3 linked regions of the Oryctolagus cuniculus genome follow. The protein of the gene in region 3 interacts with the protein of the main gene of each other region in a pairwise test. Links are inferred from orthologs where the notes say so. Each region holds a gene or a part of one and is shown on either strand. Other genes may lie near its edges.

Region 1 (9,915 bases), on a different chromosome or scaffold from region 3:
ATCAAAACCCTGTTTGTGCCACTTGTTACACAGGCTCTCTGAGGTCCAAGATGGTGCCTTGATTTGCACTTAGACCTGTAACTGCCACTCTGCGGGAGGGGCACGCTCCCCTAGGGCTCGGATCCTTTATGGCTTTAACACAGGCGGCTTAGGAAGCTACGTCATGTCCCAGGACCCCAGTAATCAGCTGAGAGAGGCATGCCCACCTTCCTTTCCTGCGTCACGGCATACTCCACTACCTCGGTGCCATTTTCGTTGTGATAAACCAAATCAAATTTCCCAGGTTCTTTCAAGGCTGAAACCAGAAGGGAAGGAGGAAAGACAGTAAGCCACCTCTCAACAGTCCAGGTGTTCTGCAGGGACTTCTATCGCTGGGAGAACAGCTGTGGACAGTTGTGACAGCTGGGCACGTACAGGAAGGGGTGCTCTTCAGTAACGGGAACCCCTTAGAAAAGCCTGTGCCAGTGACAGCAGAGTTTCTTGGTCAGAGATGATCTCTCCTTCATCTAAAAGCAACAAGCTTGACGAACTGTCACCCGTAGTCTCAGAACAGAATGTGAAACAAGATAATTCTCAAATATCATTTATATGTTATAATAAGGGGAGGGGTCACATGAAATGTTGTTCTGCCTTCACAAATCATATATGTAGTCCCTGCTTTGCACAGTAGTAAGAGATCAGAACAATGACCATGCAAGCAAAAACCATGCAAAATGATCTCAATGGTACAAACTATGCTGGTCTCATGAGCTTTAAAAATTTTCATCAAAACATTAACAACCTTTACTGTATAGGAAAGTGGAACTGGGATTTATGAGGTATACTTTAATATTAGAAACCGAAAAGTGGAAGTACTTTCATGTCTTTGTAAGAAACATGTCAAGCGTGGCTTGCACAGTGTTTGCCTTCTTGTATGACAGGACGCAGAGCAGGCATCTCCTCTACACCTTGCAGAACTGCCACACTCCTTCCTAAGCTTAGATCAGCCCTGAACACTTCTATCCCTTGAACTTTTAATGTCATAAAGTAGCTATGAAAGCGCATTCCATTTTCCCTCTGTGCCATCTCTGTGCGGTTGTTTTGCTGGGTGGGGGCACTTCTGGGACCATCTGCATCCTTTTCCTCACAATTACTTTCTTCGTTTATGTCAGCAAGTTCACATAAATGGCAGTGTCACATTCCCGCCATTAGCTATTTCTTCTGTAATGCCACTAAAATTCAGTTTGATGGCACCTTCAGCTCTATCACTTGCTGTCCCATTTTGCTGTTGACCACGCTTTTATCTTTGTTGGGCAATCCCCTTTCAGAATTACCCATTTTTGTACAATGTTGTGTGGGTTTGCCACTGTAAGACAAGGAGACAGCACAACTCCATGCTCTGCTGCGTATGTAAACCAAATGTCGGCTGCACAGCAACCCTTCTCGAAGTGACAAGACTGGTCACAGGTCACGATGCCTGTATATGACTGACACAGCCATCTGAGGACTGAAGAGCAGCAGTACTCTAGGGACTTACTCACACTTAACATTCCCAATGGCACTGGGGGACTGGTGTTATCTGGTTAAAGCATGGTAACTGAAAATCATATATAATAGTATCATGCAAATAGAGGGCTCCTTGTACTTCTACAGGCCAATTTCTTGATGCCCTGGAGAAGAAAAGTTCTGACTGGATGTCATCACCTGCAACAACCTGACAAGAAATGACCAGGCTGGGTCTGTGGAAACTGAGATGGACAAGTTTCTCTGTCCACTGAGAAAAGGGGCTTCTACCAATGAAACTTCACCAGAGGAAAGCTGGAAAGCTCTCCTTGTAAGTTACACCCGAGGTACAGAGGGTTAAACCACTGCTTACAACACTGGCACACCTCATCAGAGCCCTAGTTCAAGTCCCTGCTGCTGCACTTCTGACCCAGCTCCTTGATAATGCAGAGGAAGCAGCAGAGGATGGCCCCAGGATCTGGGCTCCTGCCACCCACGTGAGAGACCCAGATGGAATTCCAAGCTCCTAGCTTTGGCCTGGCCCATCCCCAGCCCTTGGGGCCATGTGGGGAGTAGAGCAGCAGGTGGAAGATCTCTTTTTCTCTCTGTCTCCCCCTTTCTCTTTCACTCTGTCACTCTGCTTTTCAAATAAATAAAACTTAAAACAGTTATATCTAATCATTTATTTAATATCACATAGGAATTGACCTAAAAACACTTGTGACATTTCTATCTACTGGAATTTTGAATCTCCTACTCCCTATCTTATTTAAAAAGAAACAAAAAAAAAAAACAATTAACTGCAGTAGGGTCTGCAAAAAATAACCAAGAAAACAATCTCCCCTGCTCTCTAGCCAGGGACCCTCTGGCACAGCTCAGCTCTCTGTTCCAGGCTTTCAGAACCATTAATGGGTTAATCAGTGATAAAACAGGGAAACATTTTTTAAAAAATTTACTTTGACTTAATACATAAAAGTATGTTCACCTGTCAAACTTCTGAAATAACACTAAGTAGTTCTTTTGAGTTCATTAGGTAAACAATGCCCATAATGTATTGTCTGCAATTTCCATTGTTTTGTTAATTAACATAAGAATGCAAAACTTTGCAAGGCAATTTAAGTACAGAATCTTCCTAAATTTTTACAGAATGTCTCCCAATCTTTTATAGCTGATCCACCCACACATAATTTAACAGCATTTTTAAAGTGGTGTTCCTAATTCCTGGAAATAATTCTTTTCTGTTTTCATCAGTTCATATAACTTTTGATGAAAGTACATATTAAAGCAGTTAGAATTTGCCCAACTCCTCTTAGACTGCCAGTGATCTGGCTAAGAGGAGTATAGCACAGAGGGGCACAGATATCGCCAGTCAGCGAGGCCGGCTAAGTGGCAGCCATAGATGTTTCTTTATTGGCTATTTAGAAACCACCACAGGTATGTACAGGCTAAATGTTTAAATTCATTTCTAAAAGACTCACCAGGTAAGGATGAAAGAATTTCTATATCTACTTGCTGGGTCTCTGGATTGTGGCTTAGTATTTTTCCTTCCTTTCAAAAATAAAAGTCCGAGTCAAATATCAACACATATAACATGGTATGTATACTTAAAACCACTGAATTACAGACTGTAAACTGGTAAATTCTTTGTTACATGAATTTTAACTCAATAAAAAATTTAAATAAATCAATGTGCAGGGGAAATTAAGCTGCTGCTCATGAAGCCGACATCCCACATCGGAGCACCAGTTCCAGTCCTGTCTGCTTCATTTCGAATCCAGCTCCCTGCTAATGTGCCTGGGAAAGCAGAGGAAGATGGCCCAAGTGTTAGGGCCCTGGCTGCCATGTGGGAGACCAGGATGGAGCTCTTGGCTTCTGGCTTCAGCCTGGCCCAGCCGTTTGGGGAGTGAGCCAGCAGATCGAAGATCTCTCTCCCTCTCTTAACCCCTCTCTCTGATAAACACTTTGAACACACAAAATTACCCTCAGAAGCAAAATAGATACATTTAAATCACAAATGGCAGACACTGACCTAAAGAACACAAAAGTAAAGATTAGACTAGGTCATCAAAGTGACTGAATAGAAGAAAGAGGAAAAGCATGGGCCAGCATGATTAACTCAGATGAGGTTTGCTCGTGACAACATCAGGGAAGGCCACACATGTCCCAACTGGGCCTCTTTTACAAGTGGTAGTAAGCTGCAAGCAGAAAGTCCCTTTGTCACTGACAGCATTAGAGGTCCCTTCCTCCAGGTCCCCAGCTTTGGGAGCTGGTTTTCAAATGCATCAAGAGGGTGCACTGCCCTGTGCATGTGGGTGGTGGTGAGACAGACCGGCAGCCTTTGGAGGCACCCAGTGAGGCCCACCAGTCAGTTCCTCCTGCTTCTACCCAGCTTTTCTGGGCACAGCCAACAGTGGTGTTTAAAACCAACCAAATGGTGGCCAGGAGTCTGGGAGACTATATCTTTGAGGATAGATCTGACTTCTGGAGATGAGCTTAACGAATAAAGCAGATGATCAAGCTCGATTTCAGCATCTGAGGTCAAAGCAAAAGAGTGGGACCAACTGTAATTCTTAAAATGGTTTTGAATGTGATTTCAAAACTCTCCAAAAAATATTGGGAACTAAAGTAAGCAGACAGCCTGCCAAGGAAATAACTATGGTGACTAGTACCAATTTAATACACAATAAATCATATGATCTAGAACTATAATTGGCAGAGGTTATTAAATTTATCAATTCAATATTCATTGCCATTTCGTCAAATATCACAGAAAATCAGTTATCTATGGTGGGGTAACACAACACCCTGGGCTGTCCAAGATAGTCCAGAACAACTTTCCTTCCAGCATTACTAATTATTACATTAAAAATATAGACTGACAGGCTGGCATTGTGGCATAACGCATTAAGCTGCCACCTGCAACACTAGCATCCCATGTGGGTACTGGTTCAAGACCCGGCTGCTCCACTTCTGATCCAGCTCCCTGTTAATGCACCTGGGAAAGCAGTAGCAGATGACCCAAGTGCTTGGGCCCCTGCATCTATGTGGAAGACCTGGATGAAGCTCCTGGCTCCTGTTGGTGTGACCATTTGGGGAGTGAACCAGTATATAGAAGATTTCTCTCTATCTCTCTCTTTCTCTATGTAATTCTACCTTTCAAATAAATAAAAATAAATCTAAATAAATAAATAAAATTTTTAATGCTTATAATTCTACATATTATACCAAAAAAGAAAGTATACATTTTAACTTTTTAACTGACATATACCAAAAAAGACTTTTTAACTGACATAAAAATTGTACATATTAGGAGTATGTATTTATTTTAGTAAGATTATATCAAAATTTTGTTGGTTGAAAAAAAGGGAAGGAAACATAATCTCACTGTGACAAGCTTTTACTGAACAATGAAAAACTTGTATGACAGAGTCTCATACAGATATAAAGAGAGTAAATTCCAAGGATGACTGTGAACTACATGGTTAAGTGATGATGCAAAGATATCATATTAGACCATAATAATCAGAAGACATTTACAAATACATGAAATAGATGCTTATAATAAAAATAATCTTTTCCAGGTGAGAGCTATTTATTATTTTCATAATATGGTCTTTCAAAATTTAGGCTCATGAGGGAGTGGATTTTCAAATAAGTATGTGTTGAAATTGATTAGGAAAAAAAATCAAGCTCATCAATTTTTATTCTATATTCTTCTCAAGTGCCAGGAAAACAGCATGGACAGAATTCAGCTGTTCAGAAGTTTATAGGTTGATGTTTACATTTTCTACATTACTTTATGACACTGTTCACTCAAAAAATTCTATACTATTCATTTAAGTAGCATTATCTACAATTTTCATTTTATTAATATACTGAAAACTTAATTATTTTTAAATAAACAACTTTACCTTGTAGTCAGAGACATCAGGAGAGTAATTGGATGTTAGTTCCAAAAGCTACAGAAGAAAAAAGTCACAAATACCAAGCTCTTGTACACTTTCACATTCCCACAGCTCCTCCCTCCTACCCGAGAAAATCGTGAAATGTAAAGGTGCCCACACAAGCCAGGGGAACTCTATCATCAACCAGTGAGAAGGGCTCTTATAAATATTATTTAATGTGACTAGACGAGTGAAGTTTGTTTGGAAATGGAGTTAACCATTTTGGTTACAATCACTGCTGTTTTAAAATATACCTTGGGGGGGGGGCTTTTCATCTAACAGCTAAGACACCATTTAAGACAGTCGCATCCCCTTACTGGAATGCCTGGATTTGATGCCTGACTCTGGTTCCTGATTCCAACTTCCTGCCAATGCAGACCCTGAGAGGCACAGTGACAGCTTAGGGACTGAGTTTCCCGCCACCCACATTGGGTTGAGTTCCAGGCTCCCAGCTTTGGCCTGGCCCAGACAATGGGGGCATTTGGGGAGTGAACGAGTAGATGGGAGCTCTCTGTGTCTCTTAAATACATAAAATCTTTAAATAAATAAATAAAATAAAGCATACCTTAAATGCAATCTTTTCTCCAACCTGAGGGGCAGCTGCTAAGAGTGGTAACAGACTATAATCCTTCTTGTGTGTCTCTACTGGATTCTGAAAAACAGCATTAGTCAAGTGACTGGTATTTGTAAAAAAACGTAAACTCATGACATGAACTCCAGATACACTCCATGGGAAAGTGGGGGAGGTAAGCTACAACCAATCATACCTACCTGGATAAAAGTAGATGCGTTTGTTATCATTTCATTTAATTGCTTCTGCTTCTGATAGTCAGCATTTCTGTTTACAACACCAGACACAGCCTGCCCTCGCCCTCGCCCTCTCCCCCGCGCGCCCCGACCTCTGGCTCCCTTCCAAGAAAGAAGGTCCTCTCCTCGACCCCATCCTCTTCCTAGACTGGAGGGGAGAGTCGCAACAGAGGGAGGACCGGGAGCCTGTCTGCCACCGCTTAAGTCAGAATACTTCCAGCTGGCAGCAGGTGGCACCTGTGAGGACAGCCCTGGACCTGGGCAGCCTCTCCCTGGGAAGAGGCCAGCCGTCTTGAAGAGCCCCGAGGCACTCTCGGGAGTGCTCTTAGACAGCAGGCACTGGTCATCCGACTCTGAACTCGAGTCTGAACTAGACGAGGATGTTCTGGTGGTCTTGCCCTGGCTCGGAGTAAGGCTAAAGCCACCTTTTGCAGGCAGTTTGTTTGCAGTCGTATTTTTTGTAGAGGATCCTTCCTTTGCTAACTCAGTGGGAATTTTCTCTGAGGAATTTCTGGCCTCCGAAGTGACATTGCTGAGCCCATCACTGGTGGATTCGTGACAAGACTCCGACTCCGAGGAGGAACTGGGGCTGTCTTTTGAAACAGTGCCTACACCAGCTTTCCTTCTGGCTTTCGCCAGGCTGTTCTTAGCAGGACTTTTTGGAGTACTACAGTTCTGGGCGGTCCACTCTTTTACCACGGGCACTTTGGGAGACTTGGAATTCTTGGTCTGCTTTTTATATTCACATTTCTCTTTTTTCTTTGGTGATTTCCTTTGGGTTTCTTCATCATTGTCATCCATCGTGCCACATGCTGCTTTGTTCTTTCTCTTGTTTTTTTTCCCCACAGCCTGCTCTGTGACTGCTTTTGTGTGCGGAACCAAGGCCTTCTCATTATTACTACTGTTTTCTTGCCTTTTCCAATGCTTCTTTGAATACTTGCAATCTATGTCACTTTCTTCGTTCTCCTCCAACTTAAATGCCCGCTTCTTTGCTTTTCTAGGTAAAAAATGAGTACTATCACCATTCCTGACTACTACAGAATTCTCAGCAACTCCTCTCTCTTCTAATTTAACTCTGTCAAAAGAACAAAAGAGAAAGCTAGAGTGAGCACTGCATAAATACATCCCAAGGACTTAGTTATACACCAAGATGATGCTACAAACTTAGTACCACCAGTCCATGAAAAAATGTTGCATCACTTAACACACAAAGGACGCCTTTTGACAAAATGGCCTAGACAGCATCACTTATGGTCAACTTTCAAATGGTTGGTCTTGTTTGACTACTGACTGCATCCCAAACATCTTCTATGGATCACCTCTCATCTAAACACCACTACAGAGGAGAGTCTGTCACGTCACAGAGTCTGTCACACGATTACATCTCAGACAAGCAACCTGCCCAGAATCCACAGCTGACAAGTAGCAGAAAAGCAATTTAATTCTCAATCTAATTTCAACACTCAACTTTCCACTACATGTATGTTACCAACCCTAAAAGATGATTATCCATTTTTGTTTTTGGAATGTTGAGTTGCCTTTTTATGTTGAGGGGCCAGTGTTGTGGCATAGTGGATAAAGCTGTCACCTCCAGTGCTGGCATCCCATATGGGCACTAGTTCGAGTCCCAACTGCTCCACTACCAATCCAGCTCTCTGCACCCACGTGAGAGACCTGGAAGAAGCTCCTGGCTCCTGGCTTCAGATCGATGCAGCCCCGGCCGTTGCAGCCAACTGGGGAGTGAACCAGCAGATGGAAGACCTCTCTCTCTCTCTCTCTCTGTAACTCTGACTTTAAAATAAATAAATAAATCTTTAAAAATAAAAAACTTTAGGCAGGGGGCCAGCATTGTGGCATAGTGAGTGGGTAAAAGCTGCCACTGCCTGCAGTGCCAGCATCCTATATGAACTCAGGTTTGAGTCCCAGCTGCTCCATTTCCCATCCAGCAAAGCAGCTCTCTGCTGTGGCCTGGGAAGGCAGTAGAGATGGCCCAAGTCCTTGGGCCCCGAACCCTCGTGGGAGATTCACAAGAAACTACTGGCTCCTGGCCTCTGATCGGCCCAGCTCCAGCAGTTGTGGCCATCTAGGGAGTGAACCAGCAGATGGAAGACCTCACTCTCTACCTGTCTGTAACTCTTTCAAATAAATAAATATTTTTTAAAAATTTAGGAAGGGCCAGCGCTGTGGCGCAGTGGGTTAAAGTCCTGGCCTAAAGCACCGGCATCCCATATGGGCACCAGTTCTAGTCCTGGCTGCTTCTCTTCGGATCCAGCTCTCTGCTATGGCCTGGGATAGCAGTGGAAGATGACCCAAGTCCTTGGGCCCCTGCACCCGCATGGGAGACCTAGAAGAAGTTCCTGGCTTCAGATAAGTGCAGCCCTAGCCATTGTGGCCCTCTGGGGAGTAAACCAGCAGATGAAGACCTTTCTGTCTCGACCTCTCTCTGTAACTTTTTCAAATAAATAAAATAAATCGTTAAAAAAAGTTTAGTAAGATACTAAACAATTCATGTTCTGAGGGATAGTTACAGTGACCCATAATATTCGATGACTTGTTGTGGTTAATTTTATGTGTCAACTTGACTGGGCTAGGGATGCCCAGATGTTTGGCCATTGCAGCCATCTAGGAAGCAAACAAGTGAATGATGATCTCTCTCTGATGTTTAAATAAATAAATAAATCTTTAAAAAAAGAAGCAGTAGTAGTAGTTTTAGAAAAGGTCAGACTATCAGTTTTCTCCTTTTTTAAAAAATTTAATTTGTTTTTACTTGTAGCAACGTTGTAATTCAAGGTTCAATTCTTTTTTTTTTTTTTTTAAAGATTTATTCATTTATTTGAAAGAGTTACAGAGGGAGGAGAGGCAGAGAGAGAGAGAGAGAGGTCTTCCATCTGCTGGTTCACTCCCCAAATGGCCGCAATGGCTGCAGCTGTGCTGACCCAAAGCCAGCAGCTGGGAGCTTCTTCCGGGTCTCCCACGTGGGTGCAGGGGCCCAAGGACTTGGGCCATCTTCTACTGCTTTCCCAGGGCATAGCATAGAGCTGGATCAGAAGTGGAGCAGCCAGGACTAGAATTGGCCCCCATATGGAATGCCAGCACTGCAGGCAGCGGCTTTACCCACAATGGCACAACGCCAGCCCTGCAACGTTTTTCATTCCTCTATCTGGATCCCCAACAACAAACAGAGCTGTCCTTTCACAAACAGAAGTGAATTGCTTATTTTATTAGCGATAAGAGATATGATAACCAAAAAACTTTTAAAACAGATCCTCCATCTGGGCAAATTATGTGGTATTAGCCAGATGCAAGTATTCCCTGTAAATCTGCAATGCTACTTTAAGGATTTCGATAAACAGAAACGGACATGCGGGGCTGATGTGAAGCAGCAGGTTAAGCTGCAGCTTGTGATGCTGGCAACCCAAACTGAAGTTGAGTCCTGACTGCTCCACTTCCCATCCAGTTCCTGCTAAAGTGCCTGGGAAAGCAGCGCAGGATTGCCTAAGTGCTTGGAGCCTCTGCCACTCACATGGGAGACTCAGAAGGAGTTCCAGGCTCCTGGCTTTGGCCTGCACCAGCCCCAGCCATTGTAGCCATTTGGGGGAATAAACCAGTGGATGGAAGATCTCTCTCTCTCTTTCTGTCCAATTCCCTCCCTCCCAAATCTCTCCCTTCCTCTGCCTCTCCT
Region 2 (10,015 bases), on a different chromosome or scaffold from region 3:
CCTACATGAGCAGTTGCTGACATGGGCGTCATCAGAGCCAGGATATACCTGTTTCCCTACATGGGTCATCTTCCATGTCTGCCACCTCCAAGAGTATCCCTCCGAGGGATGTGGTCAGGTAGTTGTACTGAAAATAAAAACTTTATGAGTTATCATTCCCAAGTCTAAATTTAAAGAACTAATGTAGATGTTGGCTGAATTAAATTGTATGGGTGGTGAGGGGGCAATCCCATCCAGACACCTGTGAGTTGGAAGCCAGAGGGAATATGCACCTGCCCAGCTACTTCTCCCAGGTGTTGGTGGTGATCACAAGCAGCATTCCAGGATGTTTGGCTTCTGGAACCAACTCCGTTCTGAAGGACACTTTAGCATCTATTAATACTTTGGTAATAATCTTTTATACACAGGAATTTTGTAGCATGACATTATGGCTAAACTTATTGTGTGTTAAATTATTTAGAAATGTTGAGTTTCTGAGTGTTATTTTGTGAGATTTGTTTGAAAAAGTAATAAATTGTGTTATTTTATAAAAAATGAAGTTGTGTCTTTTTTGATTACACAATCATTAATTTTATCTAATACAGAGCAACCATGTCAACTTTCAATGATGCGCGAATCCTACTTGTATGTCAGAGAGAGACTCATTTATTTATGCTATTTTTTCAGTACTTTATTACCAAACATTATCTCCTCTCCAAGCTCTGTAAATCTCTCAGAACTTGTCTGGGCACCACTTCACATCACGCTCTGGAGGGAAGGCGTGGGGGTGGCAGGAGCCGCTGCACCTGCCCTGCCCTTGTCCTCGCCTTCAGCCAGAAGCTCCCCGGTAGAGATCAGCTGACAGGACCGGGAGCGGAGACACAGAGCATCCGGCAGCGTCAGCAGTGTTACACATTCCGCTAGCGCGCGTTCTGTACCGTCAGCCACGGTGTAGTGTTGGCCACAGAATGCAACGGTAGTGCTGTTTCTGCTTCTTTCCTGAAGTTCTTTAATGATGAGGATAAAGTTTTTTGCTGCTGTCCTTCCTTAAGAAGCAGAAAATTTACATTTCTGAGCCATCTGGGGAGTGAATCAGCAGATGGAAGACCTCTCTCTCTCTCTCTCTCTCTCTGTCTCTCCTTCTCTCTCTGTGTAGCCCTAACTTTCAAATAAATAAATACATTTTTAAAAAATGGAGCTTGGACTTGAACCCAGGAACTCTGATGAGATGCGAACACCCCAGGTAGCATCTTAACTGCTATGATAAATGCCCACCCCAGTATTTTTAAACGTCATATACAAGGGTGCTTGAGACAGTTCATGGAAAAATGGAATTAAAAGACACATTTACTTTAGTGCAAAAAATTTTTGAAATCCATGCACATTTTTTCATCCTACCCATTTTTCATGAATTTCTTGAAGGGTCTTCCTATGCAAGGATTAAAGCAAAATTACACCAAAATTAACCTTTTAATTCCATTTCCCATGAACTTTTGAAGTATTCCCATACCTAATGCAAACTGGTACAATTGTTATGAAATTAAATAAACTCCTAGGTGATGACCTTCCCTCCCAGGAAGCAATCAACTTGGCATGTATTGAAAAAAACTAGCTTTTAAGAATGCGATGTATGTGTGCATGGGTGTGTGGTGTGTACATGTGTGCTGGCTGTTCAAGGGTGTGTGTGCATGTGTGTGAGAACCTGAATGTGTGTTGGGGTGGGAGACTGGCATGGTGCCCCTGTGTTTGAAAGGAGGGAGTGTTTATGATGGAGTATTGGCAGGGGCAGTGAGAGAATGCATGCAGACAGGGGTGGGGGAGTGTATGCACTCCCGATGCCGGTGGGAGGGAGGGGAAGCTGTCAGTGTAGCCGCCAGTTGGGCAGGGGCCCAGGAGTGGTACCTGTTGGGGGTTGGGGTTGTGAAAAGGTTTGTCTGTTGGTGGTGGGGAGGGAGGCAAGCATGTGGAGATGGTTGTGAGGGAGGTGAGGACACGAGTGAGTACAGAAAAATCTGGAAGAATATGTACTAATAGCAGTCTAAAGTACAAATTATGTACTGTGTGATTGTTAGATGAGTCAGTGGTCATTTTAAACGTTATTGGGGGAAGACTCCACTGAACTCTTAACATGGCTGCAACCACTGGGGTTACTGAGGGTCTCGATGGATGGTCATCTTGTCACTGACATCTGCAGCCAAGTGCACATGACCTTAAGCTGTGTTTCCCTTTTATATGTTGATATAAAATGGCTCCACTTCTTCAGTGAAGCAAAAATTTTTAGCTAAAAAATATAAAAAGGGAAGGGAAAAACAACTATTTCTAGATTATCTCCTGAGCCTTTTTTAGGATTTTCTAAAAATTTTTAGTAAGTTAATATTGTACTTATATGTCTGTTTATAGCCTAACATTAGCCTTGAAGAACACATAAATATTGGATACATTAATACACACACATTGTGGGAGCGCTCCATCTCACTATTTTTTTTTTAAGTAAAAGGTTCTTTTTTATGACATGGGGGAAAGTTTTCCTAAGAAAAAAGAAAACAGCTTAATTACACTGAAAAATGTTAAATATGTTGGAAAAACTAGACAGCGATAGTTTTTAAAATATTTTTATTCTTATACATCTATTTGATAAGTTCAAATGTAGAACATTTAAAATCTGGGTGAACAAGAACTATTTTGACAAGGACTGGAAGGGGAGTGGGGGGATGGGTGGGTCACTGTCACCGGGTCCTAGCCATCTCCCCAGGTGGTTTCTCTGCGCGACCTCTGATCAGCACAGCTCCGGAACTGCAGTCCTTTTCCAGCGCCCCAGCTGGAGTCTCAGAACACTCTGTTCCACAGATCCGGCTCTTTAAAGATGAGCACTAAGAGATTTGCACTGTGAGGCTGAGCAGTATTACCTAAACAATGCACGTTTCTTTCCATTAATATAAACATGGAATGATTTACAGTCAACACACACTAGCCTCGACGCTGATAACAATGTGATGGTTCACGGTTCCTGCGAGCCAGGCCCTGGGCTAAACATCTGCACGTGCGACTTCACATTTATCTCCATGGGAAGAGTCACGGGTTCACACTTGTCACAGCCGAGGGTGCCGGCATGTCGACAGCGGGCGCCGCAGCCAGCAAGCCCATCGGCATTGTAGCAGCTCCCCATGCTCTGTGCAGTGTCGGCGGAGTTACAGGAACGGGCAGGCCAGAACCCCCTCCCTCCAAGAAAAACACAACGAAAACAGCAGGCAGCTAGGCCTTTACTACTCGGGACCAGGACAGCAGCTGCGGGCCGGGTCTGCACGGCAGCCCTCTTTCCTGGGGCTCAGAAGTGCCCCTCCAGGCCCAACTGCAGGAGCGCGGCCTCAGCCTCCTCCTCCTCCTCCTTGGCCTCCTCCTCACGGATCTGCACCAGCAGCTGGAAGAGGTTCGGGGCCGGCCCTTCCGCAGCGCCGGTCAGCCAGAGCTGCCTTCGGAGGGTCCCGCTGTGGTTGGCCCCGGCGATGACCTGCTCCAGGCGGGCCTGGTTCACGTTCTCTTTATCAATGGCCCCCTTCTCCACCACCTTCTGCAGCAGCGGCTCCAGACGAATGACGTAAGCCGACAACTTCTCTCCCGGGTTCTGGTACGTGTTCAGAAACCTGACCTGCGCATCCCTAGAGCTCTCCACGCTCCCGAACACCTGCTCCAGCGCCTTCAGGCACTCGCCGGTGGTGATCGCGGGGTTGCTGGTCTTGAGGATGCGGATGACGTCGGCGGCGGGGCCCCGGAGGCTCTCCATCAGCCGCCGCCTCTTTTCTGTGTCGGACACCTGCCACTCCTCTATGACTTCATTAGCGTGCTCCAGCCAGCAGTCAAAGCTCTCCTCCCCAGGCCCCGGGATGTCCCTCCCCGAGAACAGCGTCAGCTTCTTGTACCATATGGACTCCACGAGAGGCTGAATAACATTATCCAAAATATAGCTGAGCATCTCGGCTGGCATTTCGGGGCCCGGGGCCGGGGCCGGGTTCTGAAACCCAAGGACGCGGGCAACATCTTGCACGGTCCACCCCTCCCGAGCTAGGAAGAGGTGCAGCCTTTCTAAAAATTCAGCGTCAGACGTGGGGGGCTTAAAAAGCACTTTCCACACCCCTCCTTTGCCAGGCATCTCCCTGGGGATCGCGGCGTAATCCACAGCGCCAGTGAGCTCTAATAAGGCTGCTTTCGCGTTCTCTTCCCTCCAGAACATTCTCCCAAGCACTCGATACGGCACCTGGGGCATCGCAGCCTGGAGGGTCTCTTCGATTTCAGCCTCATCACAGTTCACTAGGATCCCCCAAACCAGCAGCGCTCTCTGGGAGTTCACGTCCATGCCCCTGCACCAATCTTCCAACAGCGTCATCGCCATGTTCCCAACTATCAAAGGTACCGATTCGACAGATACGGATCAGACTGCGGCTCCCCGAACTCCAACCAACACCAGACACTCCCCGCAAGCAGGCGCGCGGGCGGCAGGTCCCCGCGGTCGCTGGTAACAAGCGACACCCAAGCCCCGCTGTCCGTCTGCGGCTCCCCGGCGCGGCCTCGCAGGGGCTCAGTCAGTCACGCGGCTGTCGCCATCTCGCGTCCCGGGTCGGGGTCTGCGGCCCCAGAGTGCAGCCTGCGGGAGCCGCGGGGCCCGGGAGCGCCGGGGTGTGGCCGCGGGGCGTGGCCGCCGCTCCCGGAGTCGCCCCGGCGCTGGCGGTCCGAGCCCGGCCCTCAGCGGGGCGAGGAGCGGCAGCCCGAAGGAGCGCTCGGCGTGCCGGGCCCGGCGGGAGAGGCTGTCCGAGGTCACCGCGGCGGCAGCCGGGCCAGCCGGCGAGCAGCGGCTTCTTCTCGGGCGCGGGGACCCCTCCGGACAGCGAGGACCGCTGAAAACCGAGGGCTGAGGGGAGCAAAGACGCAGGAAGGATGCAGAAGCGAGGCGGGAGGCGAAGGCTGGTGGGGCCGGCCGGGCTCGCGTGGCGCGACGGGCTGCGGCGGCTGTGGCGCAGCTCGGCAGCCGGCGCGTTCCCGCCGCAGTGCAGGGCGGGGCCGGCCCGCGAGCCGCGGCCGCCGCACCGGATCCAGGTCGCCGGCGAGGCGCGCGCGCGTGACCATGGCAACGGTGTCCCGGACGACGCGCTCCCGAAGACTCCGTGCGCAGCGGCGCGGGGTGGGGGGAGCGGTTGCCATGGTACCGCAGCCATCAGATGTTCCAGACTTTTACAATGAAAAAAAAAATACCAATAAGCATCGAGGGCTTCTGTCTTCTAATCCGGAGCGGATTTCAGATACTAGTGGGTATCACCCGTGGTGGCTGACTTGCTCATGCAACTGGCGCATCAAGCCAGGTGCGTGGACGGCATCTCATCCAGAGGAAACGAAGGCTCCCAAGTATCCCACTTGTGTGACACACAGACTGGACACTTCCTCTTATCTTTTTTTTTTTTCTAATTTTTTTTTTTTTTTGACAGGCAGAGTGGACAGTGAGAGAGAGAGACAGAGAGAAAGGTCTTCCTTTGCCGTTGGTTCACCCTCCAATGGCCGGTGCGCTGCGGCCGGCGCACCGCGCTGATCCGATGGCAGGAGCCAGGAGCCAGGTGCTTTTCCTGGTCTCCCATGGGGTGCAGGGCCCAAGCACCTGGGCCATCCTCCACTGCACTCCCTGGCCACAGCAGAGAGCTGGCCTGGAAGAGGGGCAACCGGGACAGAATCCGGCGCCCCAACCGGGACTAGAACCCGGTGTGCCGGCGCCGCTAGGCGGAGGATTAGCCTAGTGAGCCGCGGCGCCGGCCACTTCCTCTTATCTAACACTTAGTCAAAAGGCCGGCCACCTACCTACCTACAGCTGGCAACGCACCAGTATTCTGTAATCCCTGCCTCGGGTACTCTTCAAGCCAGAGCAAGGGCCGCTTCGGTCAATCTCAGAGGATGAAAATCCCCCAAAAGAACACAGCATCCAACTCTGAATTTTTAAAACCTTATTTAATGAAAGGTTTAAAGATACAGAAGAACATTCAAAAGTAAATAAGTTACATAGGTACATTACAATCACATCAGCAAGATTCTCTTTAGTGTATTAATTTTTATATAAAAAGCACACAAAAAATAAAATCTTCCATCTGCTCTATCACAACTGTACAGCCAAAGAGGTAATATTTATATATTTATATATATGTACACCATTTTCATATGTAACAGTCTTTTTTAAAAAAGGTTGCCACAGGCAGCAAACACACAAAAGGCAGTGTCTGATCATCTGTTTCAAAATAAAAGGAATATACTTCTTTATATGCTATTAAAATATTTGTACAATAATTACAGACTGTCAAGGCTGTCCCCTCCTACAAGGCCTTCAACTTGGAGACAAATGAGTAAAAGGTGAAACAGAAACAGCTGCAAATCGTTAGAGGCAAACAGTAACACAGCAAAATGGGGGGGGGAGGACACTTGTTTTATAAAAATATGCACACTTCCTGTAAACCTAAAGGAGTCAGGCTTGCCAGTCTAGTAATAAATACTGTCCAGAAAAGCGGGCCCCCGTGGAGAGGGTGCTAAACAGCCGAGGCTTCGGGATGTGTTGTGTTCCTTCTTCATCTAGGCATCTGGCACATGAGAGATCAGGTCACTGAGGCAGTTAAGTATGGGCAGTTCCTTTGGCCGTGAGCAGCACGAGACCTCCGTGCCTGGGCGGAGGTGCGGCGGCAGAGGGGCGAGTGTGTGCCTCAGCGGTGAGGGGCGCTGCCGAAGGCATGGAGGACAGAACGATGTCACCGTCTCCTCGGATGGGAGAGACCTCAGAGACGGTCCAGAACACAGGCACTAGGGCAGTGTCACGCCGGTGGCTGACGGCAGGTGGACACTGGGAGATGGATATGGGGAGGCGGCGTGGGGAGATTACAAAGCTAGAGGTGTCTCTCGTCTAACTTCTTACAGCAAAGAGCTCGGAATAGGAGGGAAAGCAACAGAAGACAAGCCTAGGGTGTTCCCAGGGAGAAGAAAGCACCGTTAAGGATCGCCTCTGCCAGCCTCTATGGCTGCACCTACGCTACTGGCAGGTCGCATCTGCCCCCGAAACAGCTTCCTTCCCCACCGCATCTGAGGAACAAATGCATCCTGGAGCATCAGCCCCTCAAATCCGGTGTCTGTCGGGATTCACAGTCAGGTCCCCGGCTACGTTCACCTGGTCTGGTCTCTGTGAGCTTAGGGTGGAATCACTTTCTTATTTAAAAAGATATCCAAGTCCTGAATGCTACCACTGAGCAGAAGGGTCCCAGGTGACTGGAGGAGGCTTCTGTTACCACATGTCCATAAAGGGGCCTGAAACCAAATAGGGTTTAAATAGAAAAAACCTCGGGCAACCTAAGCAGCACTTTGGGGCTAAGCTGTGAAGGCACTCATATTACACAAGGATTTAGAAGAGAGCCTGAAGTTGCTACCCTCCTGTGTCTGCAGGGCACACCACGTGTTCGCTGTCTTGGGACCTAGAGCTTCTCCTCTGAAGGTGATGGGGGAGGCTGGGAGGAAAAGAAACTGGTCTCTCCCATAGCTGGGATCCTGCAGAACCACATTAATGCATAAATGAACGCTGAAAAATACCTAAGAGTGCATAGTTTAAAAATACAACTCCCTTTCCGCTCCCAGTTACCACGGATGCCTTTCAGCCCAGCTCCCGGGGAGCAGCAGAATGAAGACTTCTCGGCTCCTTCCTGACATGCTGACCTGTTCCAGACGCATTCACTTAGAATTTCTTGTGCAACTCAAGTTGAGTAACAAGATCTGAAACACAACAGCTCTTCCATGGGACTGGCAAGTACAGGGGCTTCCAGAACACTCTGGCCCTTTCAGTTGAGCGATTCCCTGCCGAATATGGAAGCCAGAATCCAGGCCTGATCAACACAACCGGAATCCTGGCCGCCTGCCAACTCCCTGGAGGCAGCAGTAAGAACTGCCTGGGATCCCCCGCCCCTGCTAGTCTCCGTGTGCCTGACACCCAGCTTCCCGCTGTCTCTCAGTGCTACCGTCAACCCTATTGGCGAGAGCTTCCCCCAGCAACAAGGTCCGGGAACTGGGGGGGGGGGGGGGGGTAGGGTGGGCTGGGGGTGCCAAGGTGCCTCGTTTTTGGCTAAATGCACGTGGGCCTCTGAAAGCAGGAGGCCCCTGGTCCCTGAGAGGATGTTAGAAATTAAATATTAAAGAATAAATAAATAGCTCCCAAATGACACGAGTCAAGGAATGAAGGCTCCTGTCCAATCTAGTTAGGAGACCTCCCCCTCCCAGAGAAGGATCCAGAGATCGCCAGCGTGCAGGGCTGCGGGTGGCATGGGGCGGGGGCATCAGGCGGCAGCTGCTGAGGGCAGGGCAGAGGCGAGCAGGGAGCTGGCACCGAGGAGCAGTTCGAGGCTAAGCTCCGAGGCGGCCTCCGGGGCCGTGTTTGGCAAATGGGGGGGGGGGGGTTATCCCCAGCTCAGGCCCTGCCCCGCAGCTCCCTTCCCTGGAACAGGCACAGAGCCGGCCCAGCGAGCAGCCAGGGGACAGTCCCCGGCCGGGGGTGGGGGGCAGCCTCCGGGAGGCCGCGGGCCTGGGCCCCGGCGGGGACAGAACAGGGCCGGCCGCCGGCAGCCTCCGGGGGGGGAACAACGCTGCAGCGGGTGGACTTGTGCTTGGCGGCCACGGCGGCTCCGGCAGGCGCCGGAGGGAAGCGGCGGGAGCCGGCCCCGACAGACCGGATGCGAAGAGAACTGGATCCTGCAGCCCTTAACACTGCTCCTGGGCCTTTATAAATAAAAGAGCCGTTTATTTCACTGTCTTATTGGTTTGGCAGAGGCAGGTCCACGGGGCTCTCTCTGCACTCCCCCTCGAGGGCCCGGCGGCGGCTCAGCCCTTCTCCCCCGCGCCGCTCTCCTCGCGCAGCGCCGGCTGGTGCGGGGCGGCGGCGGCGGCGGCAGCGGCGGCGGCGGCCGCGGCCTCCTTCTCCTTCTGCCTCAGCGCCGCCGCCTTCTTCTCCTGCTCCGCGTGGCTCTTCATGTGCGCGCTGCGGCTCTTCACCTTGTAGAACACCCTGCGGCCGCCCGGAACGGAGGGCCTCCGGTCAGAGCCGGGCGCCACCGCCGGGAGACCCACTGCGCACGCGCGGGCACCCACCACCCACCTCCCGCAAGCTGCCCGGTGACGTCACCGCCCTAGAAACGCGAGGAGCCAATCAGAAGGCAAGGCGGACGCTCCGGGCCCCCCCCCCCCGCCTCCCCCGCCCCTGCCGCTCCCACCCTGCGCCGTCCCCGTCGGGTCTGTGTCCTCACCTGCCACATTTTTTACAAGGGAAAGTGTTCTCCTGATTCTGGGTCTTATTAAACGCCTCTGTTTTCTTCTTCTTCTCCGAAAAAGGCAGTGCCCTCCGTGACTTCCCGGCGCCCTCCCTCGGCTTCTCTGGGGCCTGAGCGCCGGCAGGGCCGGGGGCGTTGGACTCGTGGCTCCGGAGGATGAGGATGTCGTTGGCCTGGAGAGGAGGAAACAAGGAGAGCTGAGTCCTCCGGGGAGGACAGATCCCTCCCCGTGGCCTCCGGGGGACACAGGGTCCCCAAAGGGCGATCTCCCTGTGACAGAGCCCCCCTGCCCCCTCGGAAGCCCGGCGCCCTGGTCAGCGCTGGCGCTCAAGGACTTGCTGGTGGGACAGTCCCGGCGCGCACAGGACTCATCGGATGCGCCTGCACCTATGCCATGAATGGGACTCAGGCCACTGAGAGGAGCCCACTGTCTCTGGGGAAACAAGCTGCCACACAGGAGCGCGTGTGCAGGACGCTGGCGCCGGCCAGTGCACAGCGTGGGAACCGCTGACCACAGTGGGAGAGCCGAGGACGCCAGCTGCACACCTGGAGGAGGCGCGGCCCGGGGAACCGGGGTTGGAGGAGCCCCAGAGGTTCCCTCAGCAGTGACTGCGTCTGTGCCCTGGGCCGAGCCTCCCAGCAAAGTGCTCACAAAGTCGGGGGACCCCACCGAGGGCGTAGACCCCGCTATAGCGCCAGGTGCAGGCACAGCT
Region 3 (9,915 bases):
GAGTGAACCAGCAAATGGAAGATCACTCTGATCTTATTTCTCTCTCTCTCCCTCCCTCCCTTCATCACCCTGTCTTTCAAATAAATCTTGCAAAAAAGAGACATATCAAGCAAGAATAATATGGGAGCCTCAATTGGACCCTGATTTGAATAAACAAAGTAGAAAAAAAAAGGTTAAGGGACTGGCGCCACGGCCTAGCAGGTAAAGCCACGATCTATGGAGCCAGCATCTTTTATGGATGCTGGTTCATGTTCTGGCTGCTCCGCTTCTGATCCAGCTCCCTGCTAATGGCCTGAGAAAAGCAGTAGGGGATGGTCCAAGTGCTTGAGCACCTGCACCCATGTGGGAGATCCAAAGAGGCTCCTGGCTTCGGAATGGCCTAGCTCTGGCCATTGCAACTTATTTGGAGGAATGAACCAGTGGGTAGAATACCTCTTTATCTCTCTCTCTCCATAACTCTGCTTTTCAAGTAAATAAATAATGTTTAAAAAAACTAGAACTTCATGAGATAACTAAGTTTGAACACTGTCTAGATATATATGCATGATGACTTTAAAGAACTGTTATTATAGGACCAGAACTGTGGCGTAGCGGGTAAAACTGCCGCCTGCAGTGCCAACATCCCATATGGGTGCTGGTTCGAGTCCCAGCTGCTCCACTTCCTATCCAGCTCTCTGCTATAGCCTGGGAAAGCAGTAGAAGATGGCCCAAGTCCTTGGGTCCCTGCACCCTCGTGGAAGACCCAGAAGAAATTCTTGGCTCCTGGCTTCAGATCAGCATAGCTCTGGCCGTTGTGGTCAACTGGGGATTGAACCAGCAGATGCAAGACCTCTCTCTCTCTCTGCCTCTCCTCTCTCTGTGTAACTCTTTCAAGTAAAATAAATAAATCTTTTAAAAAAATGTTATTACAATAGATGTAACAATGGTATTCCAGCCACGTATTTTTAAAAAAGGAATCCTTACATTTTAGGGATATATACTAAAAGGACATATTTTGGATTTGCTTCAAAGTAATACAGGAGGGAGAAAGTAGATGGGCACAAATGGATCAATGAGCTCTGAACTGCTAAGTGCTGACAGTCTGATGCATTCTTTTATTCTCATATATAATTTAAACCTTCCATGTCCAAAATAAAAACTTTTAGACATATGTACAGATTTCTGCTTCTGCCTATCCAAGAACTGTTACAGCAACTGCACGTCTACCATATACTTAGAGAAAACCAGGCAACCTATATGGAACAACTGTTCCCAGACAGTGGACAATGGGCAGCACAGGCCTGCCATCTCTAAGGAACAGACACAAAAGAGGGCAGCCCTGGGACTCCCTCGCTGGCACTGCCTGAGGGGTTGAGGACCACAGCAGCGACAGGGCACAAAGGGCCAAGCAGTTTCCCAAGGCGAGAAGACAGAAATGGAAGTTCTGGAAGGCCCAGGATTTGAGGGGTGGTGTATCACAGAGGAGACAGCTACACAGAAAAGAGTTCCAGCGATCTGCTGAGGGATTCCCCCTACCCAGCCGCAGCCAAGTCTTCATCCAAGCACTGATCTCTTACATGGGGTGAAACTTCATGAAGCCAGGGGAAGCAGCACCAGAAATCAGTAGGCCTGATAACTCCCAAAGCTGCCAAAGGACTAATTCACATCCTCATGGTAAATCTGTTTCCCTGCCAGGAAAAACCCAAGTGGCTTTCTTCAAAACACATTAAATGTTGAATCAAAACAGTGATCCTCCTGCAGACACATGGCCACTGAATTCACTAAATGTACAGTATTATAAATGATATACAACAAACACAGGAAACCTACCAAATGCTAAGCTGCTACTGTTAACACATGTATCCAACATGCATTAAAGTTTGTTTTCTTGAGGCCAGCACTGGCACTTGAGGCCAGCACATTAAAGCCACTGCCCACAACACCAATATCCCATATGGACACCAGTTCAAGACCTGGCTGCTCCACTTCCGATGCAGCTCCCTGCTAATGTGCCTGGGAAGGCAGCAGAGGATGGCCCAAGTTCCTGGGCTCCTGCACCCACATGAAGGGGTGCAGAACAGCCCAGCCCAGCCCATTGCAGCCATCTGGGGAGTGAAACAGCAGATGGAGGATCTCTCTCTCTTCCTTTCTCTCTGTAATCCTGCATTTAAATAAATAATCTTTTTTTTTTTAAGTTTACTTTCTTGAATCATTTTTTTTTCTAAATCTTAATTTTTTTTTATAAAGCACTACTGATTAGCTAAAAGCAATTCACACTTATCCTAATCCCTAATGTATTCCTTTGATAAATATATGGTTTCAGGCAATTAATTTACCACATGAGAGAATGTTACAATCTAGTTAAATTATCCAGATGTTTACTCCACACTTCAGAGTGGAATCCTTCTGGTTCAATCTCAAGTTCAGGAGACTCCTGACAAAAAACTACGTCATGAGGCATGTATGAAATTCTCCCTCTTTGCGGCGCCGGCACACTGGGTTCTAGTCCTGGTCGGGGCGCCAGATTCTGTCCCAGTTGCCCCTCTTCCAGGCCAGCTCTCTGCTATGGCCAGGGAGTACAGTGGAGGATGGCCCAAGTACTTGGGCCCTGCACCCCATGGGAGACCAGGATAAGTACCTGGCTCCTGCCATCGGATCAGTGTGGTACGCCGGCCGCAGCGCGCCGGCGGCAGCGGCCATTGGAGGGTGAACCAGCGGCAAAGGAAGACCTTTCTCTGTCTCTCTCTCTCACTGTCCATTCTGCCTGTCAAAAAAAAAAAAAAAAAAAAAAAAAGAAAAGAAAAAAAAAAGAAATTCTCCCTCCAGCACTGTGTACTTCAGGCAAGGCACTTATTTAACCTTCATTCTCTTCATTTTATTCATTTATCATGGAAGAAAATAAAACTTGGGTTGTGGTAAAGATGAAATTAAACTAGTATGTAAAGGAGTTGGCAAAAGTCTGGCACAAAATAGCATCGAATGAGGAGCAGTTAACAAAACCTAAGGAATGGGGGCCGGTGCTATTGGTGTAGCGGGTAAAGCCGCCACCTATAGTGCTGCCAGCATCCCATATGGGTGCCAATTCGAGTCCTGCCTGCTCCTCTTCCAGTCCAGCTCTCTGCTATGGACTGGAAAAGCAGTAGAAAATGGCCCAAGTCCTTGGGCCCCTGCACCTGCGTGGGAGACCCAGAAGAAGCTCCTGGTTCCTGGCCTTGGCCTGGCCCAGTCCCGGCTGTTGCAGCCATTTGGAGAGTGAACACAGTGGATGAAAGATCTCTATCTATCTATCTCTATCTCCCCTTCTCTCTCTGTATTTCCGCCTTTCAAATAAATAAGTAAAACTTTAGAGGCCGGCGCTGTGGCACAGCAGGTTAACGCCCTGGCCTGAAGCACCAGCATCCCATATGAGTGCCAGTCTGAGACCCAGCTGTTCCACTTCCAATCCAGCTCTCAGCTATGGCCTGAGAAAACAGAAGATGGCCCAAGTCCTTGGGCCCCTGCAACCACGTGGAAGACCCAGAAGAAGCTCCTGGTTCCTGGCTTCAGATCGCGCAGCTCCAGCCATTGTGGCCAATTAGGGAGTGAACCATCGGATAGAAGAGCTCGCTCGCTCTCTCTCTCTCTCTGTGTGTCTCTGTCTCTGCCTCTCCTTGCTCTGTGTAACTCTTTCAAATAAATAAATAATAATAATAATAATAATAAATAAAAATAATAAATAAGTAATAAAAAATAAGTAAAACTTTAAAAAATCAATAACTAAGAAATGGCCCAAATAGAATCAGTGCTGGCAAGATAGTGTTTGTTTATTCTGTGCCTACTGTGTGCAAGGCTCTGTCTGGGGTAGCTACATCCAAAAGATACAGGGTAGGTAGGTACTGAAGGTAGGTGCTGAGGCCTAGAGCTGGCCCTGCACAGTGGGTGGACCTACGAGGCCCTCTCCTGACCCAGAAGCTTTCCCAATTCCAAAGCAACCAAAGTGAGCTGGTGAACTGGGAAGCAATTTCAATATACAATTTTTTAATTATGAGAGGTTTTTACAGTGAGCCTCAAGACATCAGGGCTTGAACCCTCGGTCAGCGTTCTTGCCCTTCAAACACCACAATTTTATTTTCTTCCTCACTGAACTATTAATATAGCTATGTGCCACATAACAATGCTTGAGCCAATGACAGATCACACATACAAAGGGGTCTTATGCCATTCTATCACCCAGTGACATCACAGCCACCTTAGCTGGTACAAAAACACTGTGATGTTTGCACAAGACAAAATCACCTAGCAACACATTACTCAGAATGTGTCCGCACCACTCACTGAGTGACACCTCACTGATTTCTCTGGTGCACTGAATAGCTCATAAAACACTTTCACAGACTGTATGGTCCACGTGTTGGGATGATCTCACCAACAGAGGGAAATGCTGTGAGTTACTTACAATCATAAAAGGTTACAAACTCAGACAAATGCCAAACAGCATTAATAGTGTGAAGAACCTTTTATCTCCTTAAATCTCAGAAAATGATCATTTGGATTGCTGCCTAAAAGCACACAAATGCAATGAGTGGTACAATAAAACTTGCTAGCTCTCACCTCCCTCTAATTCAGATTTCATTACCCAATCAGTGAAATGACATTTCATATGCTATAAGGGAATTTTTTTCACCATCACATGAAACCCTACCCGAGCAAGGTGCTACTAGCCCCAGTGCTAAACCTCCCAATGCCCAGGACCATGTAACAGCCCAGCAGTGTGCCAGTGGCGTGGTTCTGTGTGCCTCTCCCATGAGTTCCTATGCTTTCCAGTCCTGTTCTGTGTGGCTCCATTAATGAATTCAACACACAGAACAAGTGCTCTCTCTCACCTTCTCACCACTCAGGGAGTTTTAGCCAAAGAATGATCTCATTTTTGTCCTTGTTAAGAGAAAATGCTGAGCTGTGCAGTGCTCGATCAGAAACCTTTCCGGGAAGGCCTGCCTGGCTCACCTCCAGTCTCAATGCAGGGATAAGGCGGGGGCGGCTCCCTCCAGTTCCCACTGGAGTCTTTCATGTGCGATCGGTCGGAAGCAAAGTTCTTCAGATATGAATCTGCACGGATCACTCTAAATTTCCTGCACGTAAATCAGCACACACTGACATGAGCAAGGCATCACACTGGAAATTGTACCTCCATTTTCAGATGCACTCGGTTCCTATGATGAGTGCAAACCACTCACATGTGTTTGTACTGCTGGCAAAACACAAATACATGTGCAGCTTTACTGTACATAGGGAAGCCAGCTGAAATCCACAGCTACAAAGGCACAGAATGGATGCCTGTTTTTAGGCAGAAAAGGCTGCCTCCTCTGACTCAGCTGTGTACTGGGGTAAACTGCATGATTTTCTGGTGCTGCCAGCATGAGGCGTTCATTCCGCCTGAGCAAACAAGAGCAGGAGAGAACTCCCCAGCATGCCTGAAAGAAAATGTCTGAGATCATCACACAACTTTAAAGACTCCCAACCTTTTATGCGATGGGTAACCTTTAAAACTTTTAAAACATCTGGAATCTCTAGTGTAGCATGCACGTCATTCAAAATATCAAAATATCAACTCAGTGATGATGCCAAGACAAGTGATCTTTATAAAAAAAAATAAAATAATAACCTTAGCATGATCCCAGTGTCTTACTTCAGAAAGTATGTACGTAAATCCAAGCCGAATCTCCTCACCTCCTGAACTGTGGGTGAATGTCATCATCAGACTTAAAGGCATCTTCTACGTAAGTGTCAAAGGGACAGGGAAAGGGCAGGACAGTATCAAGGTCATAGATGAAGCTCTGTCCTCCACTTGACACATGGAGCAAAACAACGTGGTAATCCTAGGAAGAAAAGCACATCTGGGTGGTGAATGCCAAGGCCCCTTAATGCACATTAAAAAAAAAAAAAGGTTACAAGTACAACACTAATACAACCCTCCTTAAAACAGCAAAATACAATAAAGCAAACACAAAACCCTAAAAACAGACTAAAAGTCCAGTGTCTGGGAAGGTGGTCAAATAAACGATGGAAATGGTTACAGACATTAACTGTATACCCTTTTGACCCGGCAACTTCACCTCTAGGAAACTATTCCACCGAAAAATGGCCATGAGCGCGTGAAGTGTAAACATGAAGAAACTCTCCGCGGCACTGTTTATAATTTTGAAAAGTCCAGGAGCCTATCAAGCAGCGAACGCTGAGTAAACTGTGTCACAGCCGTATAATCAAATACCACGCAGATGATAAAAGACATCAGTACATTTATGTGGAAAATGCAAAAATGTCAGGGCCAGCGTTGTGGCATAGTGGATTACACTGCCGGCTGCAACGCCAACATTCCATATGGACGGTGGTTCAAGTCTTGGCTGCTCTACTTCCCATCCAGCTCTCTGCTAGTGTACCTGGAAAAGCAGAAGATGGTTCAAGTACTTGAGTCCCTGCGCCCACACAGAAGACCTAGAAGAAGCTCCTGGCTAGCCCTGGCTATTGGGCCCATTTGGGGAGTGAACCATTGGGGCCATTTGGGGATAGAAGACTTTCTCTCACTCCCTCTATCCCTTCCTCCCTCCCTCCCTGCAACTACACCTTTCAAGGAAATAATTAAATCTTTTTTTTTTTAATGCAAAAATGTCCATGTCATTGGGACCAGTGTTGTGGCACAGTGAGTAAAGCAACCACCTGTGGCGCCAGTATCCCATATGGATGCCAGTTCAAGTCCTAGCTGCTTTGCTTCCCATCCAACTCCCTGCATATGGCCTGGGAAAGCAGTGAAGGATGGCCCAAGTCCTTGGGCCCCTGCACCCATGTGGGAGACCTGGAAGAAGCTCCTGGCTCCTGGCCTTGGCCTGGCCAGCCCCAGACATTGTGGTCATTTGGGGAGTCAACCAGTGGATGGAAGACTTCTCTGTCTCTCCCTCTCCCTCTCTCTCTCTAACTCTGCTTTTCAAATAAATAAAAAATAAATCTTAAAAAAAAATTCCATGTATATAGCTGGACAGACGAAGCAAAGTGCAGAATATCAACACATTTTTTTTTTTTAAGATTTATGTGTTTGTTTGAAAGATACAGTTACAGAGAGGCAGAGGTAGAGAAGGAGAGAAGCCTTCCATCCGCTGGCTCACTCCTCAAATGGTCACAATGGCTGGAGCTGGGCCAATTCAAAGCCAGGAGCCAGGAGCTTACTCCAGGTCTCCTACAAGGGTGCAGGTGCCTAAGGACTTAAGCCATCTTCTACTGCTTTCCAAGGCCATAGCAGAGAGCTGGATCAGAAGTAGAGTAGCATGGGACTCGAACTAGTGCCCATATGGGACACTGGCACTGCAGGTAGCAGCTTTACCTGCTACTCCACAGCACTGGCCCCCTGCTTTATTTTTTGTAAGCCATGTGCATATAAGGACACACATTTGATTCAGAAGTACATATGCATGCATGAGTACAGAGGAAGTGTGTAAGGATCTCCTCTGAACAATTAACAAAGGGGACTTCTTGTCTATTTATTATTTGAGAAACAAAGACAGAGAGAACTCTCATCTATTTGTTTACTTTCCAAATGCCCATAACAACCACCGAGGCTGGGCCAAGCCAAAGCTGGAAGCTGGGAACTCAACTCAGGTCTCCCACAAGGGTGGCAGGAACCCAACTGCTTAAGCCACCCACAGTCTGCATTAGCAGGAAGTCAGAGTCAGAACCAGAGCCAGGTATCAAACCCAAGGACTCCCATGTGGGATGCAGGCATCTTACCTGACAGCTTAACCACTACCCCAAAAACCTCAAAGGGGACGACTTGAGAAGCTAGCCTGGAGAGGAAATCAGGATGTAACTTTTCAGTTCTGTGCTATTTTCCTAATTAAAAGGGGAAAAATTGAACAACAGCCGAGCTGCAATCTGTAGGCATTAGGGTAAGGTTAAGGACAGCCTCTCCTGCTCAGCCCCACAGCATGGACACACTCTCTCTCTCTCACCAGCGCAGCCGAGGGCTGAAGGGGACCTCCAGTTATCAAGGGACATGAGGGCAGTCTGCTGCTTTGGTTCCTGAGGGGTAAAATGCTCTCACAGGCAGCAGTATGATAAAACACACGCTCTACCGACCGTCTTCCGCTTCCACAGCACATAGCTCAGAGTTTACAAAGCCCGTTACTGCATCTCGGCCCATTCGACCCCTGGGAAGTGGAAAAGGCAACGAGACTGGAACTGCTGAGTCATAAGAGCGAGGGCTTTGCTTGTCTCCAACTCTGTCTTGGGAAGGCAGAAACAGACACTCTCTGTGCTCCTGCTCAGTGACTCACAGCTGCTCCCCTAACAGTCCTCCATTCCCTTCCATGGGCCTTGCTCATGGTACTCCATCCCCTGCAGCAACCTGCCCGGCCTCCCTCTGCCACACAGGCTCCAGCTCAAAAGCTTTCTCCCCCAGGAATCCACTTGGGAACTTCTACCCCTGCCAGAAGTCATCTCTGCCTTAGCTCACTTCAGACTCTCATTATAACTTATTTTTAAGTACTTGCTCCTTATTAATAATAGGAAACTGTGCTGCTGAAACATAGACACAAAGATAAAAATTACAAGTTCTTACCTGCAAGGCGTTCCTGGAGAAGTGAGTGGGAATCCCAAGTGTATAGTACAGAGTGAATAAGAGACAGAACAGGGAACCTTGTAGGCAAGGGCAGGCAAGTACCTGGTTCAAATCTCAACCCCTCCACTTCCCAGGCTCACAAGTGGAGATAGAAGGAGAGTCTGCGTCACAATGTAACTGGAGAATAACTCTGTAAACAGCTGGCCTTTTTAAAAGCCAACCAAAGGGCCGGCACAGCGGCTCACCAGGCTAATCCTCCGCCTTGCGGCGCCGGCACACTGGGTTCTGGTCCCAGTCGGGGCACCGGATTCTGTCCTGGTTGCCCCTCTTCCAGGCCGGCTCTCTGCTGTGGCCCGGGAGTGCAGTGGAGGATGGCCCAAGTCCTTGGGCCCTGCACCCCATGGGAGACCAGGATAAGTACCTGGCTCCTGGCTTCAGATCAGCGCGGTGCGCCAGCCGCAGCGCGTGGGATGCGGCAGCCATTGGAGGGTGAACCAACGGCAAAAGGAAGACCTTTCTCTCTGTCTCTCTCTCTCTCACTGTCCACTCTGCCTGTCAAAAAAATAAATAAATAAATAAATAATTTAAAAAAGCCAACCAAGGGGGGAGCGGCACTGTGGCACAGCAGGTTAAAACCCTGGCTTGTAGCAAAGGCATCCCATATAGGTGCCAGTTTGGGTCCTGGCTGCTCCACTTTTGATCCAGCTCTCTGCTATGGCCTGGGAAAGCAGTAGATAGCCCAAGTCCTTGGGCCCCTGGACCCATGTGGGAGTCCCAGAAGAAGCTCCTGGCTTCAGATCGGCTCAGCTCCAGCCCTTGCAGCCAATTGGGGAGTGAACCAGCGGATGGAAGACCGACCTCTCTCTCTTTCTGGATCTATCTCTCTCTGTAACTCTGTCTTTAAAATAAATAAAATAAATCTTTAAAAAAAAAAAAAAGCCAACCAAGAAACAGAGGCAGGGGGGCCCAACTGCCAAGGGGAATTTCCCTGATGGCCAACGGACGCCATCACTAAAGGGGAGAGCTTCCTATAAAGATGGTGCAACTTGTGAACAGGCCCCAACAATGACTACCCGCAGCCTCCCCATCGGTTCAGGCTCACACTCCCAGATTCAGGTGGTCGATGAAATTAGAAGGAAATCAGACCCCAACTAAGAATCCTCTTCCCAGCACAGGTGTGAAATCAGGGAATGCTGAGCCCAGCAGAAGCCGCACTTCCTGAAGTGGCATGGGAATGCAAACCCCAACAGCCAGGGAAAGACCCTGTCAGGCCAGGGCAAGGGGTGCTGGCCTAGAGGGGACCTGCTTCTTGGGGTTTGGTCGTCTCTAAGCACTTGGCAAGGCCTAACCAT

What was found.
Region 1: the proteins of NTAQ1 (region 3) and COIL interact in binary tests that used the Homo sapiens proteins (3 or more experiments, as listed by UniProt). The link is inferred for Oryctolagus cuniculus from reciprocal best matches to the Homo sapiens genes NTAQ1 and COIL.
Region 2: the proteins of NTAQ1 (region 3) and PNMA1 interact in binary tests that used the Homo sapiens proteins (3 or more experiments, as listed by UniProt). The two-hybrid records come from large-scale screens. The link is inferred for Oryctolagus cuniculus from reciprocal best matches to the Homo sapiens genes NTAQ1 and PNMA1.

The regions. Positions count from the first base shown.
Region 1 is NC_091448.1:32,532,563-32,542,477, forward strand, and holds part of COIL (coilin), read right to left. Parts: intron 7,309-9,915; coding exon 6,198-7,308; intron 6,079-6,197; coding exon 5,992-6,078; intron 5,442-5,991; coding exon 5,394-5,441; intron 3,031-5,393; coding exon 2,961-3,030; intron 296-2,960; coding exon 207-295; intron 1-206. UniProt on the Homo sapiens protein: Component of nuclear coiled bodies, also known as Cajal bodies or CBs, which are involved in the modification and assembly of nucleoplasmic snRNPs.
Region 2 is NC_091451.1:19,886,168-19,896,182, forward strand, and holds PNMA1 (paraneoplastic antigen Ma1), read right to left. Parts: upstream 5,418-10,015; 5' UTR 4,367-5,417; coding exon 3,305-4,366; 3' UTR 2,576-3,304; downstream 1-2,575. Other genes in the region: MIDEAS (mitotic deacetylase-associated SANT domain protein), read right to left, coding at 8,857-9,040, 9,279-9,475.
Region 3 is NC_091437.1:149,148,247-149,158,161, reverse strand, and holds part of NTAQ1 (protein N-terminal glutamine amidohydrolase), read right to left. Parts: intron 6,396-9,915; exon of another isoform or gene 6,126-6,395; coding exon of another isoform or gene 6,072-6,125; intron 5,835-6,071; coding exon 5,686-5,834; intron 5,088-5,685; coding exon 4,963-5,087; intron 1-4,962. UniProt on the Homo sapiens protein: Mediates the side-chain deamidation of N-terminal glutamine residues to glutamate, an important step in N-end rule pathway of protein degradation.